Linked DNA regions of Rhinolophus ferrumequinum. The protein of the gene in region 1 interacts with the protein of each later gene in a pairwise test. Links are inferred from orthologs where the notes say so. Each region holds a gene or a part of one and is shown in the gene's direction. Other genes may lie near its edges.

The links.
Region 2: the proteins of PLD1 (region 1) and PEA15 interact in a two-hybrid assay, tested with the Homo sapiens proteins (2 studies listed by BioGRID). The link is inferred for Rhinolophus ferrumequinum from reciprocal best matches to the Homo sapiens genes PLD1 and PEA15.

What each region holds. Positions count from the first base shown.
Region 1 is NC_046285.1:70,808,519-70,815,388, forward strand, and holds the start of PLD1 (phospholipase D1), read left to right. Parts: upstream 1-3,852; 5' UTR 3,853-3,994; intron 3,995-6,870. UniProt on the Homo sapiens protein: Function as phospholipase selective for phosphatidylcholine. Implicated as a critical step in numerous cellular pathways, including signal transduction, membrane trafficking, and the regulation of mitosis.
Region 2 is NC_046305.1:28,328,008-28,335,351, reverse strand, and holds the start of PEA15 (astrocytic phosphoprotein PEA-15), read left to right. Parts: upstream 1-4,336; 5' UTR 4,337-4,493; exon of another isoform or gene 4,494-4,501; intron 4,502-6,396; exon of another isoform or gene 6,397-6,485; intron 6,486-7,344. Other genes in the region: CASQ1 (calsequestrin-1), read left to right, coding at 1-61. UniProt on the Homo sapiens protein: Blocks Ras-mediated inhibition of integrin activation and modulates the ERK MAP kinase cascade. Inhibits RPS6KA3 activities by retaining it in the cytoplasm. Inhibits both TNFRSF6- and TNFRSF1A-mediated CASP8 activity and apoptosis.

The sequences.
Region 1 (6,870 bases):
TTTTCAGAGTAGCATGGGTGCCATGGTTAGTTAATTAATATTAATAATGAAATGTTTCTGAACAAATAAATGAAGTGAATGGTTGCTAATCAGGGGACTGTCCAGTGGACAGAATGACACAGAAGTCCCACAGGTTACATCAGTGAGGATTACTGGGGGCTAGCAATGGATGCAGGCTCCTGTTATCTAGATGGCCCCAAGGGGCCACAGACTCAGGGCAAGGCTGGGAGACAAGGCTGGGCACGGCAGATACCTAACACGCACCAGAAGTTAAAAAACAAACAAAGCAGGAAGTGGGAAACTGTCTCTGACTGGGTCCCACTGGTCAGGGCAAAGCTACTGCTGGGGCTGCTACTGCCTCTGCTCAGGGACCCCACCACCAAACGCCGCCGAATCCCTCATTCCTTGAGAACCAGTGCATCTAGCCCCTGAGGTAAATGGAGTGGTAGTGGGAACGCATAGGAAGGAGCTGCCCTTTGCCTTGGAGATCGCTACCCAAAATTGCTCTCTTGCCAAGATTATTCATATTTGGGGAGAGGCAATTCTCTATAAGAGAATGGAACTACCCCCCCCCCAAAAAAAAAAAGATGGATCCTGAGCATCTCCAAATGGCCTAGCTGATTTGGACAGCAGTGTACACATAAAAAATATCATGAGGGAAAATTTGGGGGAGCACATTGGTATGCAAATTTTATAGAGTATTCTAAAAGTAATAAGTATATTATTTTTATTATATTTTACAGATTATTCCATGATTATTCCATGTAATATGTATATGTACACATAAATAATATGGTTCCATTAAAAGCATTAATACAAATTAACAAGAGCAATAATATCACATAGGAAAAAAACATGCAATGGATATGAATAGATCATTCCAGTAAATGGTACAAATAATCAATAAACATGAAAAAATAATGTTCATCATTATTGATTATTGAGGAAATGCTGATTAAAACAAGATATGATTTTGATCCGGCCCATTTTCAAATTACAAGCAAGATAACACAACATTGGAAAGTATTTTGCAGAGTTATAGAGTTTCAAAAATATTTATAGATGTTGATCCAAGTAGTTGCACTTTTAGAACTCTATCCTAAGAATTTAGGATCTCAACAAAGATTGACATCCATGGTGATATCGTGCATGATTTATAAACCACCCAAAAGTCTGGAAACATCCTAAAAGCCATCAGTAGATGAATAGATAAATAAATGATTGGAATATTCTTCACCCATTAAAACATATATTTAAAAAAATTTAGTGGAAGTAAACAATACTCAGTTTATAAATATTCAGTGAGATAAGACGGATTCTAGATTGTTTGTACAGCATGATAATTTTGTAACAAACCTTTATTGTTGTATAGAAAACAAACAAAAAGAAGATATAACAAAACATTAACAATGAGTTGTGTGTGTGTGTGAAGATTAATTTTAATTTAGAAAAATTTGTTTTCTGTGGTCTCTGAAACTTTGTATTTTTGTAAAATACAAATGTAAAAATTACAAAAATGAGCATATATTACTTTTATACTGAGAAGAAAAGATAAAAATTAAAGGGAATTTAGAATACCACTTGTCTGATAAAAATGTTGGATGTGTATCCAGATGGTTATATAACAGGCGTTCTTAATCATTATTTCTTGACCTCGTGGACAAAAAAGGGGGCTCTGTAATAAAACTGACAAGTCCAGTGATGGAAAGTAACCTCCTCACAGGGTGATCTGATTATAAATTCCTAACTGGGCAGGTCATGGTGGGTAGTCAGGCCCCAGGCATATAACTTCTGTAGTGAAAGGATTCTCTTTGCCTTAAGCAAGCGCTGTCCATTGTTTCTATGCATCCCAGTTAACATACCTTTGAAAGGCCTCTTTTCAGACCCCTCAAGAGAAACCACCTCAAGAGAAACTACCCTCGAGAGAGCACACAATCTTGTGAACTATCCTGTAATACAATGCCCGCCTTGCTTTCTCCCACTTTCATGTAATCTTCCTTAAATTCCCTCCTTAATTCTAAATGCATAAAAGCATTAATTCTAAATGCATAAAATTCTAAATGCATAAAAACTGCCATTCTGGAAGTATTTTCTCATTCTGTCGCGATCTTGCTTGCAGGCCTATCCTCTGTGTGGCTCAAATAAATTTTTATCAAAATTCTCTACAGGTTTGGACATGGAAAACATCTCTGAAAATATGCAAGATGTGGAAAAATTACAACCACCAACAATCAGCAAATCTCTCAACGAAATAGAAATAACTACATGCAGAATCCTCGTGCATCTAAAATTTATTTATGGCAGTCCACAGCTTAAGGTTATCTCTAGACAATGGACGGCCGTTTTCTATTTTACTCCTCTAGCTCAAGAAAGGAGAAATTGAGTTATTGTGAGGGCACTTAAATAATTACATTTTTAATTAAAATTAATAAAAAGGCCTATTATTGTAGGTAGTGCCAAATGTCTTAATGATGACACTTAGAAATTTGGGATGCAAGTTTATAGCCCGCTGTTTCTCAATCAAAAGCACTATAACTTCTGAAAACAAGCTTGTAAGAGTGCTGTTACTGGTGTGTATAGTACTTACCAAATCATCTGTGATTAATAAAACTTGAGAAAGAAGGGGAGGAAAGGGTATTCAGCCTTTCAGTAACACGCTTGTCTTATACTTGCCAAACTCTTCTTAGGCAATACTCTCTATGCTCAGAGGGCCATGTGTTTAATTGCAAAAATCTGTCAGTATCATAGGATTCAAAAGACATCAATCATGTCTGTCAACAAGGAAAGAGTGACGGCTGTGTGATTCTTCTATCATTAGGAAAAGATGTGCTCAACAGAGAAAAATGTAGTCCAGGGAGGGCTGAACAACTATAGGTTATAGGAAAACAGAGTTCCAGACTATAAGGTCACCCCCCCACACACAGTTTGGACTGGAATATAGTATTTTTCATTTCATGCAGTTCCATGTGTGCAGTAAGACATTATGTAACTCGGGCCGTCTTGGCTGTGCAATATCCACTAAGTGCTTTAAAGTGGCCATCGTTATTAACAGTTTGGTGTATGTGGACACGATTGCTTCCTTTGGCTTTGGCAGAATGCAATATTGTGTAATGAGGCTGGAGCTGGCCTATATTCAAAAGCATATTCCAAAAGGGCTGCTAGTCAGGCCACATGACAGTTGGTTCTCTTTTTCTTAAGACTTCATTCTAAGTGGACTAAAAATATCAAAATTGCTGTATTTGGACATTTCCATGGGTGCAAGGGGAATTTTCCATGTTTGACTCCTGATTTATTATTTTATGCTAAGATTTCTGAATTACACCTTGCTTGAGCTTTAAAGACACCAAGACAGAAATGCAGTCTCCTGTAGTTTAAATTACTTCACTTTTCTGAACCTCAATTTCCTTATCTGTAAATTAGCGATAACACCTACTTTAGGAAGTAGGAAGTTGAAAGAAGGCTTATAAGTGATGTCAACAAAGCTCCTACTTCGTAATTGTATACCACAGGCAAGTTATTTCACCTTTGTGATCAGCTGTTTCCCCACTTGTAAAACGGGCCTATCGCTGGTGGCTACCAGCTGCAATAGATGAGAATGAGATAATATAGACAAAGCTCCCAGAACAGTGCCTGGGCACTTGGTGGCTCAAGAGTACCTGACAATAACTAACGCTAGTGACATTCCCTAGGTTGATGCGGCTGATTTGTGAAACTTTGGGATACAAGAAAGAAACCAGGACCAGGAGAGAGGCCCGGCGGCCGGAGCCCTTCAGTCCCGAGGGGACAACAGCCTGCGCCGCTAGGCACCCGAACTGAAAACCACCTCGCCCCACCCCTGTCCGGGCGAATCCGGACGGCGAGTTCCGGGCGGCGGAGCAGCGCTGTCGCAGCTCAGGCCCTCCCTCCTCCGGCGACTCCAGCTGTGCCAGCTGCGCCTGAACCCCGAGAATCCGCCGCCACCGTGCAAGTGCCCGCGGCCGCACTGGCCCTTCAGGTAGGAGCTGCGCTGTGGCCGGGGTGCACAGGGCTCCCGTGGGAGCCCGGTTTCCGCTTCCTTCACCCTCCGTCCTTTCTCCCTCCAACCTTGGGCAGCTGGCCTCTCCCCGCCCAACTTGGACGGGACCTTGGCAGCCGCAGCAGCAGCGGGCGCCAGCGCCGTGCGGCCTCGCGGGACCAGCCCCTCTGGCTTCCATCGGAGGGCTCCAGTGCGCGCCTTCCGGTCCATTTCTTGCAGAGTGGACGCCAACAACTTCGGCGCGCACGTTTGCCGGGACAGGCTGCGGGCCGGAGCGCAGAGCCACTTTGGCTCCAGGCCGACGTTGGAGGCACCCGCCCAGCCCGCGGCGGGGCCCCAGTGTAGTGTGTCTGGCGCTCCCCGGTTATCTCGAGCGCCCGGAGTCCGCGCGCTGTGGGATGACCTGGATGGCGGGCGCTCTGGGAAGTGCTGCGTTGCGAGGCGCAGAGCCCAGCCTGCCAGATACACGGTCCTGGGCATGTGGCCACACAGCTGCTCGCTGTGGCGCCAAGGAGAGCTGACGTCGAGTTGGGGCAAGGGACACGGGGGCCTGGAGTGGGGGGTGTGTCAAGGGGCTTGTTTTTCTCCAGCCAACTCAAAGTTATTTGGTACCCAGATCTCAGATCCAGGAGCGCAGTGCCCCAAGTCTTGGATAGGATTTTGTGACGTCCTTCTGAACTGCCCTTGTAGAATCAGTTCAGAGCTACCGCCACGCCTATGTTTGCGCCTTCTCCTAATCTTGGATTATTGCCTTTACCTCCTCTGTGAAGTACTAAATGCAAGTGCATTCTTAAGATCCACCAAGGTTTCTGCGTTTGATCATCCTTATCTTTCCCCAGAATTGAGAGTTCCGTTAAGTTTATCTGCCAGGCCTGCCAGTGTCAGTTTAGATAACGTTTGTGGGCCTTCCAAGGGCTTGTGGGAATCTAGGTCCCCAGAGACCTCTGCGCTGTGTGAAATGGGCTAATTAATGGTGGTGCAGTGAAAGCCTTAAGAAGGGAAAGAGCCTACAGCGTGAGCTGTTAACAGTCACCACATTTACACAATGCCCATCTGAATAAGGATCTCTTTCAGTAGGAGATGTTTTCTAACATACATACATACAAGTGAATTTGTACACAGGCTTTTAGCTTGAATTTGTATGCAGCCTTTAAATGTTTGAGGACCTTCTAACTAATTGTTTGAGCTCCCAGTCTGTCTTCTTAAGATCCAGTACAATTCACAATCCATATAAAAAATGTAGTAGTGAAGGCTTTGAGGAAGATGTACCTTTACCGTGTTGGTCCCTGATGTCGGAATATTTATGAACTACCGTGATAAGTGCTGTATAATGCTCATTTAGGTTGGTTGGGGGACCTTGGTCCTTGGAAATTGTCAGAGTACTAATTGTGTTACTTAATAAAAAATTCTTTGTTATAAAATCCATTTACCTTTAATTCTCAGGGTTTTTTAAAAAGTTTTTATTTCTATTGTGGTAAAATGCACATAACATAAAATTTGCCATTTGACCATTTTTAAGCATACAGTCAGCGGCATTCACATTGTCATGCTGCCATCACCACCGTTCTTCCACCATCCTTCCACCACCATCCTTCTTTTCATCTCGTTGGATTTTAATAACATTTTAATGATAATGATTGTGTTGCAGGCTTTAGTTTTCTTCCTAAGCAAGTCTGAGTTCTCCTGTCATTGCTTTAGAGAAATGTACTTTTGAAGAGAAGAGGTGAAAAGCTATAACCAAATTGTGTTTAGTCATCTTATCTCTATCAGGAAAGTTCTAACACATCACTACTTTAGGATAAGCGTGTGAGCTATTTAAATTTTCACATAAAGGTATTGTGAGGTTTAGCTATCAAGAGGGTGACACAGGTAAGGGAGTTATTATTGATAGTTTCCTCCCCTGCCTAGCAGAAAAATAGAATACTTTTGTCCCCTTTTGTAGTGCAATAGCAACTGTCTAAATTATGCTTAAACTCAGGTTGTGGCACATATTTAGAAACTAAAAGCAGTTTTGGTCCAGCTAGGTGGTGGGTGTAGTAGCAATTTCTTCTTCACTCAGGTGTTTACTAAAGATTTATGCCAGGAGACTCAGCACATAAGTTATGGCTCTTTAAATTCACAGTTAGTCTGAGTCATTGTTTTCACATAAGTTATGGCTCTTTAAATTCACAGTTAGTCTGAGTCATTGTTTTCACAAAAGAAATGTCGCTGTGCTAGGCCTGGTTTTATGTTTACTATCCTGTAAGTCTTAGCACCACAAAATAAAATGTATTCTCCTGCTGAATATATATAGTTAAATGTTGTTGCAGGGTTAAAATGAGAAATTTGTAACCTAAATTTCCCATACGCCTGTGACATTTCTGATTAGAAATGGAATCATACAAATTGTATCTTCTGTTGCAGTGAGAACGCATTCCGATGTGTTAGTGTCCCTGAATTCACGGTGCAGTGTAAAGTCTGGATCCCAGATGTTTTAGTGCTGGGTTATTAAACAATTGTGTATGTTATGTAAGTGTTTCTTACTGTCACAGTTCTTTTTTTGTCCCTTCTGTTGTGAACGTTCCTTAATTTTTGAATTTATTGAACAAATATTTCAGTGACAGAATAAAATGATTTGTTTATTTAATCAACACTCATATGGTGCTTCCTGTGTGCCAGACACTATTCTAAACGTTAATCCTCAAAAGAGCTCTGTGAAGTAGGTAATAGTATCAGCCCCATTTTAGAGATGAGGCAATTGGAGGCACAGTGAGAACATAATAACTAGCACATGGCAGAGCTGGGGTTCCACGCCAGGCAGCCTGAACCCAGAGTTTTGGCACTGTTATCTCACTAGAAAAATATAACCTGCGATT
Region 2 (7,344 bases), on another chromosome or scaffold:
GGGCGAGATCAACACAGAGGATGACGACGAGGATGATGATGATGACGATGATGATGACTAGTTGCTATGGCAACTATCTCCCTGCCCCACCTGTTCTTCTCATGTTCCTTCCTGCCTTCCCTGTCCTTTCCCTGAGCTCTTCCAGAGACATTAGGTCATTCTTTGCTATAGAGCCCATTGAGGATCTATATGCTGAGTACTGAGACCCTGGTTCCCTTCACCTGATGAGAAAAGGAGCAACTTTTCCCCACACAACGGCCCAACTATCTCATCTAACTTCTGTTTCTTGTCCCACAATGTCTCTGGATCTATTATTTGTTTCTCCCGTTACTCCCTAAACTCTTGTGATTTTACTCTTGCCATATCTCTGGGCCCCCATCTCTCTTCCCTCTGTTCCCTCCACCTGTGCATACTCTTCCCCCAACTCTCTCAAATCCTATATCCTTCTGACAGTCCTCTCCCTGACTGTGTTTGGGGCTGTATCTCAACAATCTCGTTAATATATTTGGGTCAAACAAGAGGCCTCAATAAAGGATCTGGGGCAGCTGAGCAAGTGTCTGCCAGTGAGGTTTCACCTCTATGGCAGGAGGGCAGCAGCCAGAGGGGGGGCGTTAGGTGTGAGTGTCTTGTTAGGGGCTTCGATAGGAGGGGGTTGGGGCTCCCTCCAGGCAGTTATCTCAGAGAAGCTTAGATTATTTATCTGATGCAAGTCAATAAGCCATTTCGGAACACATGGTGTTTGTCCAGCACCACCATTACACTCTGGGAGAACAGAGAGTGCCAGGCCTGTCCCTGCTCTCGAGCTGATTAGTCTCACTGGGAAGTCAAAACAAGCATAATAAACAATTAAAGAAAAATACAAAGCAATATGTAATTAAGTGATTATGTGCTGCTTGATGGCACCTTCCCTGTAGCTCTTATTGGAACAGTCAAGACAGATCCTAAAGAACATTTCCTTGGTGAGGCCTTTCCAGAGGTGGCCCCTTCTGCAGCTCCCTCCTCTGGGTTCACACTGCACGCTTTCTTTACACCTCTATTCTAGTACTCAGCACATTCTATTCTAACTCTCATTTACATGTCTGTCTTTCCTACTAGACTGCTCCCAGGCCTTTTCTCTGTGTCCACAGGGCCTGGCACACAAAAAATAGTCCCTAATAAATGTTGATTAAAAGAAGGAACAAATGAACAGAATGAGCTCAGAAGAGATCAGAGTGGGCTTTTGATGGCTTCATAAAGGAAGTGAATATTTTTCTAGGCCTTAAATAGGAGGGGGATTTGATTAAGGGCAAAGGAGTTGGGGAGTGGACATTTCAGGCAGTGGAAACATCAAAAGCACCAGAAGAATGTGTCTGTCGTATTGGGGGCACAGAGGAGAGAGACCAGAAGAGGAGCTCAAGTACTGGTCATGACAGGGAGTGGGCAGGATGGGCCTAGGCTATAGAGGTATTTGAATTTAATCCTGTGAGGTGAGGAAGAAGGGAAAATTTTAATCTGGCATGACTAGCAGGATAGATCTAGGGAGGGGAGATGAAAGAGATACCGGGGGCAGGGAGCCCAACTCTTTCAATGGGAGACCATTAAAATAATTGGGATGAAGTTGGGAGAACATGAACGCAAGTGGTGGTCATGGAAATGGAGAGGAGGCGTTAAGTTTTGTATGCTGGGGATCCCCCAGATCTGGGCCTGCTAGAGTTCCTGGCAGGAAGGATCCAAATTCTCTTCAGCAGGACCCAGACTGGGGTATGTGTAAAGGCGTCAGGAGTGGGGGTGGGGGAACCAAACAATTGAACAGGCCCATAACTAACAGACAGTTTTCATGGATCAGGTATAAGGGTGTTGCTGGGAAACTTAGCAGATTTCCGAGTATGGAAGAATGAGACCTGAGATTAGAGAAGTTTGCACCCTCCACAGACAAACCAAGGATTCCTGGAGAAGTGGCAGGAGTGTAGAGTAGAAACCACGTATTCATCCAACTTATACCCATTTAATAACTGTTTAATACATAGTGTCGTGTCCAGCGCAACATGGGCAGTGAGAGAACGAGAAGGGGAGGCGAACGGTTAAGAAAGAAACAGAAATCAAGAAAGTTTTGAAACAGGGGCCAAGGGTCTCACAGCCTCAAAGGACTGACAGCCCCAAATCGGGCCACCTTGTGGCTTTTACTGATGCACATACAAGGAAGTAGCATTGTTTTTACTACAGTCTGTGAGTCTCATACACAATACCAGAAAACTGGTTCAAACCAATCACCCTTGCCTGTCGAAAGTCCCGTGATATATAAGTAATTATTGTTTGTACCTCCCCAGGGTCAAAACCTTTACGTTGAAAACTTACTAAGATGGAGAACTGATGTTATCACATCTAGAATCACTTCCCAAGCAGGTTGTGGGAAGGAATACAGCCACAGAGGCGGAAGCTCTCCTTAGACAGGGGAAGGTGGTGGCTATGCCCACCTCTGTCAACCCCATGAATTCTCCTGGTGGTCCCCACACAACTGTGCCTGTCTTAGGTTGTTCCTTTCTTGAGGAATCTTGCCCGTCCTTGGCTAGGCAGCCATCCTTTGGGGCCAAACAAGGAGATGGCATAAAGGTGAAGCAATGTTCCTGAAAGGAATAGTCTCACAGACTCTTCTTTCTTTTTAGGGGTAGGCACGAGGGGACAGACGGGCAGGAAGCGGCGTGACAACAACATAGTATGGGCACTAGGCCAATACAATAATACCATGGAGATTACTGTCTGGCATAGGTCAGTGGAAGACCCAGACTAAACGATAGCTCCCATGTTTTAAGCCCCCATTTGTACCAGTCATTGGACACTGACAATTTCTGAATCTCAGAAGACCCCTGTAAGATAGACACTGGTGTCTATCTTACCAGCGAGGACACTGAGGCTCAGAGGCATAACCTGTCTGAGAAAGGAGTAGAAGCAGCATGAAGTCCATGTCCCCTGTACTTGGTTAATTCTAGAAGACCTGGACCTTCCACTGGTGCAGATAAATCATTTAGTTTCAGTCTCAAAGATGGGTCAATGAAATAGTTTTGGCCCCACCACATAGAAAAGATGAGATACATACAAAGGCAAATTATGAGGGTGTGACAGGGGACACTGGGGGACAGGGTAAAGAGCACAGAGGCTGTGAAACCCAAAGCAGCAGAAGTGTGGGACTCTTTCTAGGAGCAGTGTGGATTCTAGAAAGGAGGGCTCACCTGTATTTTCCTGAGGAGTCTCTACCAAGACAGAACGGAGGGGAGGCCAGGGGAGTCCTTGGAGGTGGCCCAGACACTGATGGGGCTCAGACCTCTTCCCAGAGCCAGACTCTGCAGGAGTTGAGGCAAGACCCCTTAGGCTGGAGAAGGGGGTGAAAACACATGCTTCCCCACTTCTTCCTTCTTTCAGTCTGGCTGAGAATCTGGGGGAGGAAAGTCCCTGGGGTGGAAGGGAAATGAGAGCAGCCATCCCAGGCCAGGGCAGAGGGGCAGAGCTAGGAGACAGAGCTAAGTGTGGCTTTGCAAGTTATCTATATTTGCATGCTGAGCTCATCGCTGCTCTTTTTCTCCCCAGAAAATAAAATGACATCATGGTGGAGGGAAGGCGGTAGGGTAGTATATTTGGGGAAGGTGAGAGGAACACAAGGGGGCCCATTGGCTTCATTCTAGAGGGAAATCTGGGGCTCCACGTCCAGCGAAGGCTGCTCTAATGTTGCTTCTGGCCCCCACCCCTACCTCCAGCCCCACCGTCCAACGTGGGTAGTCTGAGCAGTCATTACCCCTGACACATAAAGGGGAGAAAAGAGGTTTTTCTTTTCTTTTCTTTTTTTTTTTTTAATTTATTTTTAATTTATTGGGGTGACAATTGTTAGTATAATTACATAGATTTCAGGTGTGCAATTCTGTATCACATCATCCATAAGTCACACTGTGTGTTCACCACCCAGAGTCAGCTCCCCTTCCATCACCATACATTTGATCCCCCTCACCCTCATCCCCCCCCAACCCCCTTATGCTCTGGTAACCACCAAATTACGTTCCCCAGATTAATTTTCAAGAGGTTTTTCAAAATACCAAGTCAGGCAGCTAAGAGGACCCAGAGACCAAAGGCCTTCCAAACCCCTAAATCCAAACTTGCTCTGTGCCTCCCAGGATTCCAGCCATTGTAGTCATCGAAAGGTCATCATGGGAGGAGGGTGTCCCATTGGGAAAGAATTAAATCTGATAATTGGGTTTCGAGGTTTAGGGGACGAGGCAGCGTCCCCCTCGCAGGAGTCTTCCAGAACCCCAACCCTTTGGTTTCTCCTAACCCCGCCCCACCATCCCCCGCCCCTCCCCGGCTCTGACGTCACGGCCAGCCGGGTGGGGCGAGGCGGAGCTGGGCTCTGGCTCCGGCTTCGCGGGCGGAAGCTGCGCGGCGGCTGGAGCCGAGGAGGAGGCTCCGGACGCTGCTCAGGAAACAGGGACGCCAGAGTGCCCGCACCCTGCGCACTCAGCCCGGAGGCGGTGAGAGGGTGTGGAGGGGACGTGGCTTGGGGAGGGGGAAGATTTGGGGTCTGGGCTCGGAGGGGCGTGGATCGGGACGCCCGGACAGGCGTGGGGTGTGAGGCCCCGGTCGGGTGCGCGGGGTCAGGTCCCTGGGCTCAGTCCCCGGAGGGGCGCCTCGAGCATGTGCCAGAGGCAGCGGGGCTCTGGCCTCCCAGTCCCCGCTGGCAGGCGGTTTGAGATCCCGTACGGGCCTGCTTCCCGCCCAGCCTGTTCGGCGGCCAGCTGCCGCCCCCCTCCCCTCCTCTGGCTGCGGACTCAACCTCGGGGGTGGCCTCCCTCCCGGCCCAGCCCGTCTCAGTCCCCCGGCAGCCTGTACGCCCCCACCCCGCCCTCTGCACCTGGGGAAGAGGTGGGATTGGTGACAGTGTGTCCCTAGGGAAGGAAGGAGCTGGGGTGTAGAGGAATGAAGTAGCTAATGTAAAACCCCTAATTAATTTCATATAATCCGTGTCAAAACTGACAGGGACACACACCTACAAGAGACAAGCCAGCACACACGGTGACACACACCCATGTGACTCCTACACACATCGTCTGGCACACAAGCAGATTACAAACGTCCCTGCACTACACATCCAACCCCCACCTCATCCCACTTGCATATCACCTGGAAGAACATTAGTCTAACTGGACAGCTGAGTGGGGGCCACTGTCCCCAAGTCCACCCTAATTTTCTGGGCATCTTTTCCCAGCCTTGGGCTTCAGGTTGCATCTCTTTAAAACAGTGGGAAAAACAGAGAAAATCCTGGTGTCACTCCAGGAGAGCGAGACAGGATGTTGAGGGTGAGTGAGCCTGGTGCTCTGAAACTGGGTGAGTAGGGAGGGTAGGAGCTGCTGGTGGCCACTCTTGCTGGGTCGTTAGAGCTTATAGGGTGCTGGGAGTGGTTGGTTTCTGGCATCAGAGTGGAGGAGGGGGTGGAAGCAAGGGAGAAGGAGAAAAAGAAAGAATAAGTATGAGTCAGCCAAGGATGGAGCCCAAGTCAGAGAGAGAATGAGGGGAAGGTGAGAGGGACAGAGATACAGTCAGGAACAGGGAAAGGGAGGAAGTGACAGAAAGAGATGGTCCGAAGACTGGGAAGAGTGTTGGGGAATGGACTATACAAAGGGTCAGAAAATTAGAGGGCGAAAGCAGGATGGTGGTGAGACCACAGGGAGTTAGGGAAAACATGCTGAATCAGTGTGTTTTCTCTACTACAGTGTCTGGCCCCTAGGCTGTCAGAGTGACTAGCTTTAATTGCTCTTCCCTTTGTGGTTCAACACTGTATTAGGGAAATTGCCAGAGATGCCTTAGGCTGCTGACTGCCCTGGTTGCCTACTTCCTCACTTCCCTGACACCTGTGCCCATAATGTGTGCATGTATTGATTATCAGGCATGAAGAAGAGAGCCACAGAATCACACCCTGCCATGCCATCCCCTCACTCTCTCATACAGATCCTCATGCACAGTACAGTGGGGGACATCACCAACCTGTGTACAGCCAACCAAACTAGGCACTTCCCCACCAGACTTACCCTATCTCTCTACAGCAGGGTAGCTCACTCCTTCCTAATAGAATGGTAGCTCTGAGTATTCAGATGGGGACACTGAGTCACAACCCAGGAGTCCTGAGTAGCCATGTTTACCACGAAGTGGGATAGGATGAAACCTCATTGAAAGGAAAGGAGAGAGACTGAGAGACCAGGGAGAGAGGGAATGTATGAGGAAGAAACAGAACAGAAATAGGAGTGGGGAGAGAGACAACCAGATGAGGGGAGAGCATCACAGGCCCCACCTTCTCCTCCCATCAGGTGGCCCTCTGCCTTCTTGGTCCAGTGGGTATCTCCTAATGCCCTCATCTCCATCTGGTCTTTCTTCTCTTAGATTAAGGGCTAAAGGCTTTGCACTGTCCCTGTGCAGAGAGGTGACCCATTTTGCTTCTTGGACTGAACTGGAAAGGTCCTGAGACCCAGGTATCCCGCCTCCCCTCACTCCAGGCTGACTCTTAAGTGTTAGAGCCCTGTTCTTTGTTACAGGAATAAAGACCATTCCCCCCCCCCAAAAAAAAAATGCTGAATAGAAGCTAAGGGAAGAAGTCAGTTGAGAATAGTATTAATGGATTAATGGAATAATTAACGGATGAACTACAGGACTGCTTGAATTTGAGGCCCAGATAAAATTTAAAATAGAACCCTGCACTCTCCCTTCCCAATCCTCTGCTTCTCCTTGATTACTCCCCCACCTGCCCCGCCCCCCCACACGCTCAAGAGACTGACAGACTTGAATGCCTAGAGGTCCCCTCCTGCCCACTGCAGGGATCTCCAGGCCCCTCCCCTCAGCCTTAGACAGCTGCAGCAGATGTGAGGGAGGGATGGAGGGAGGGGCAGCAGCTCTTAATCCTCAAGCTTTCTTCTTAAATTGAGGATTTGGAAGCAAATGCTAGGGGGAGGGGATAATCATGAATTGATGTCAAAATGCACAGAAATCTTTTGGTGTTGCCACCTTCTCCACAGGTGGTTATCCCATTTTGCTAGGCTTCTCATAGTGCCCCCAGGGCTTGCTCCTTCCTCCCCCAGTGCCCAGGGATCATCTACCTATCAAGCTCCCAAGTCCTTCCCTACAGGTCTGTATATAATGATCCTTACCCTCAGCCCTTCTGCCTCAGCATCCTAAGTTAGTCGGACCTTAGACAGGGACTCCACCTGGGGCCGGCTTGGAAGGAGAGGGAGGAAGGAAGGAAAGTGTGAGGAAGTTGTGAGCAGAGAACAGAATGACCTGGGAGGAAAGGGGCTGACTTCCTGGCAGCCTCAGCTCCGGTTCCCGGTTCCTGCC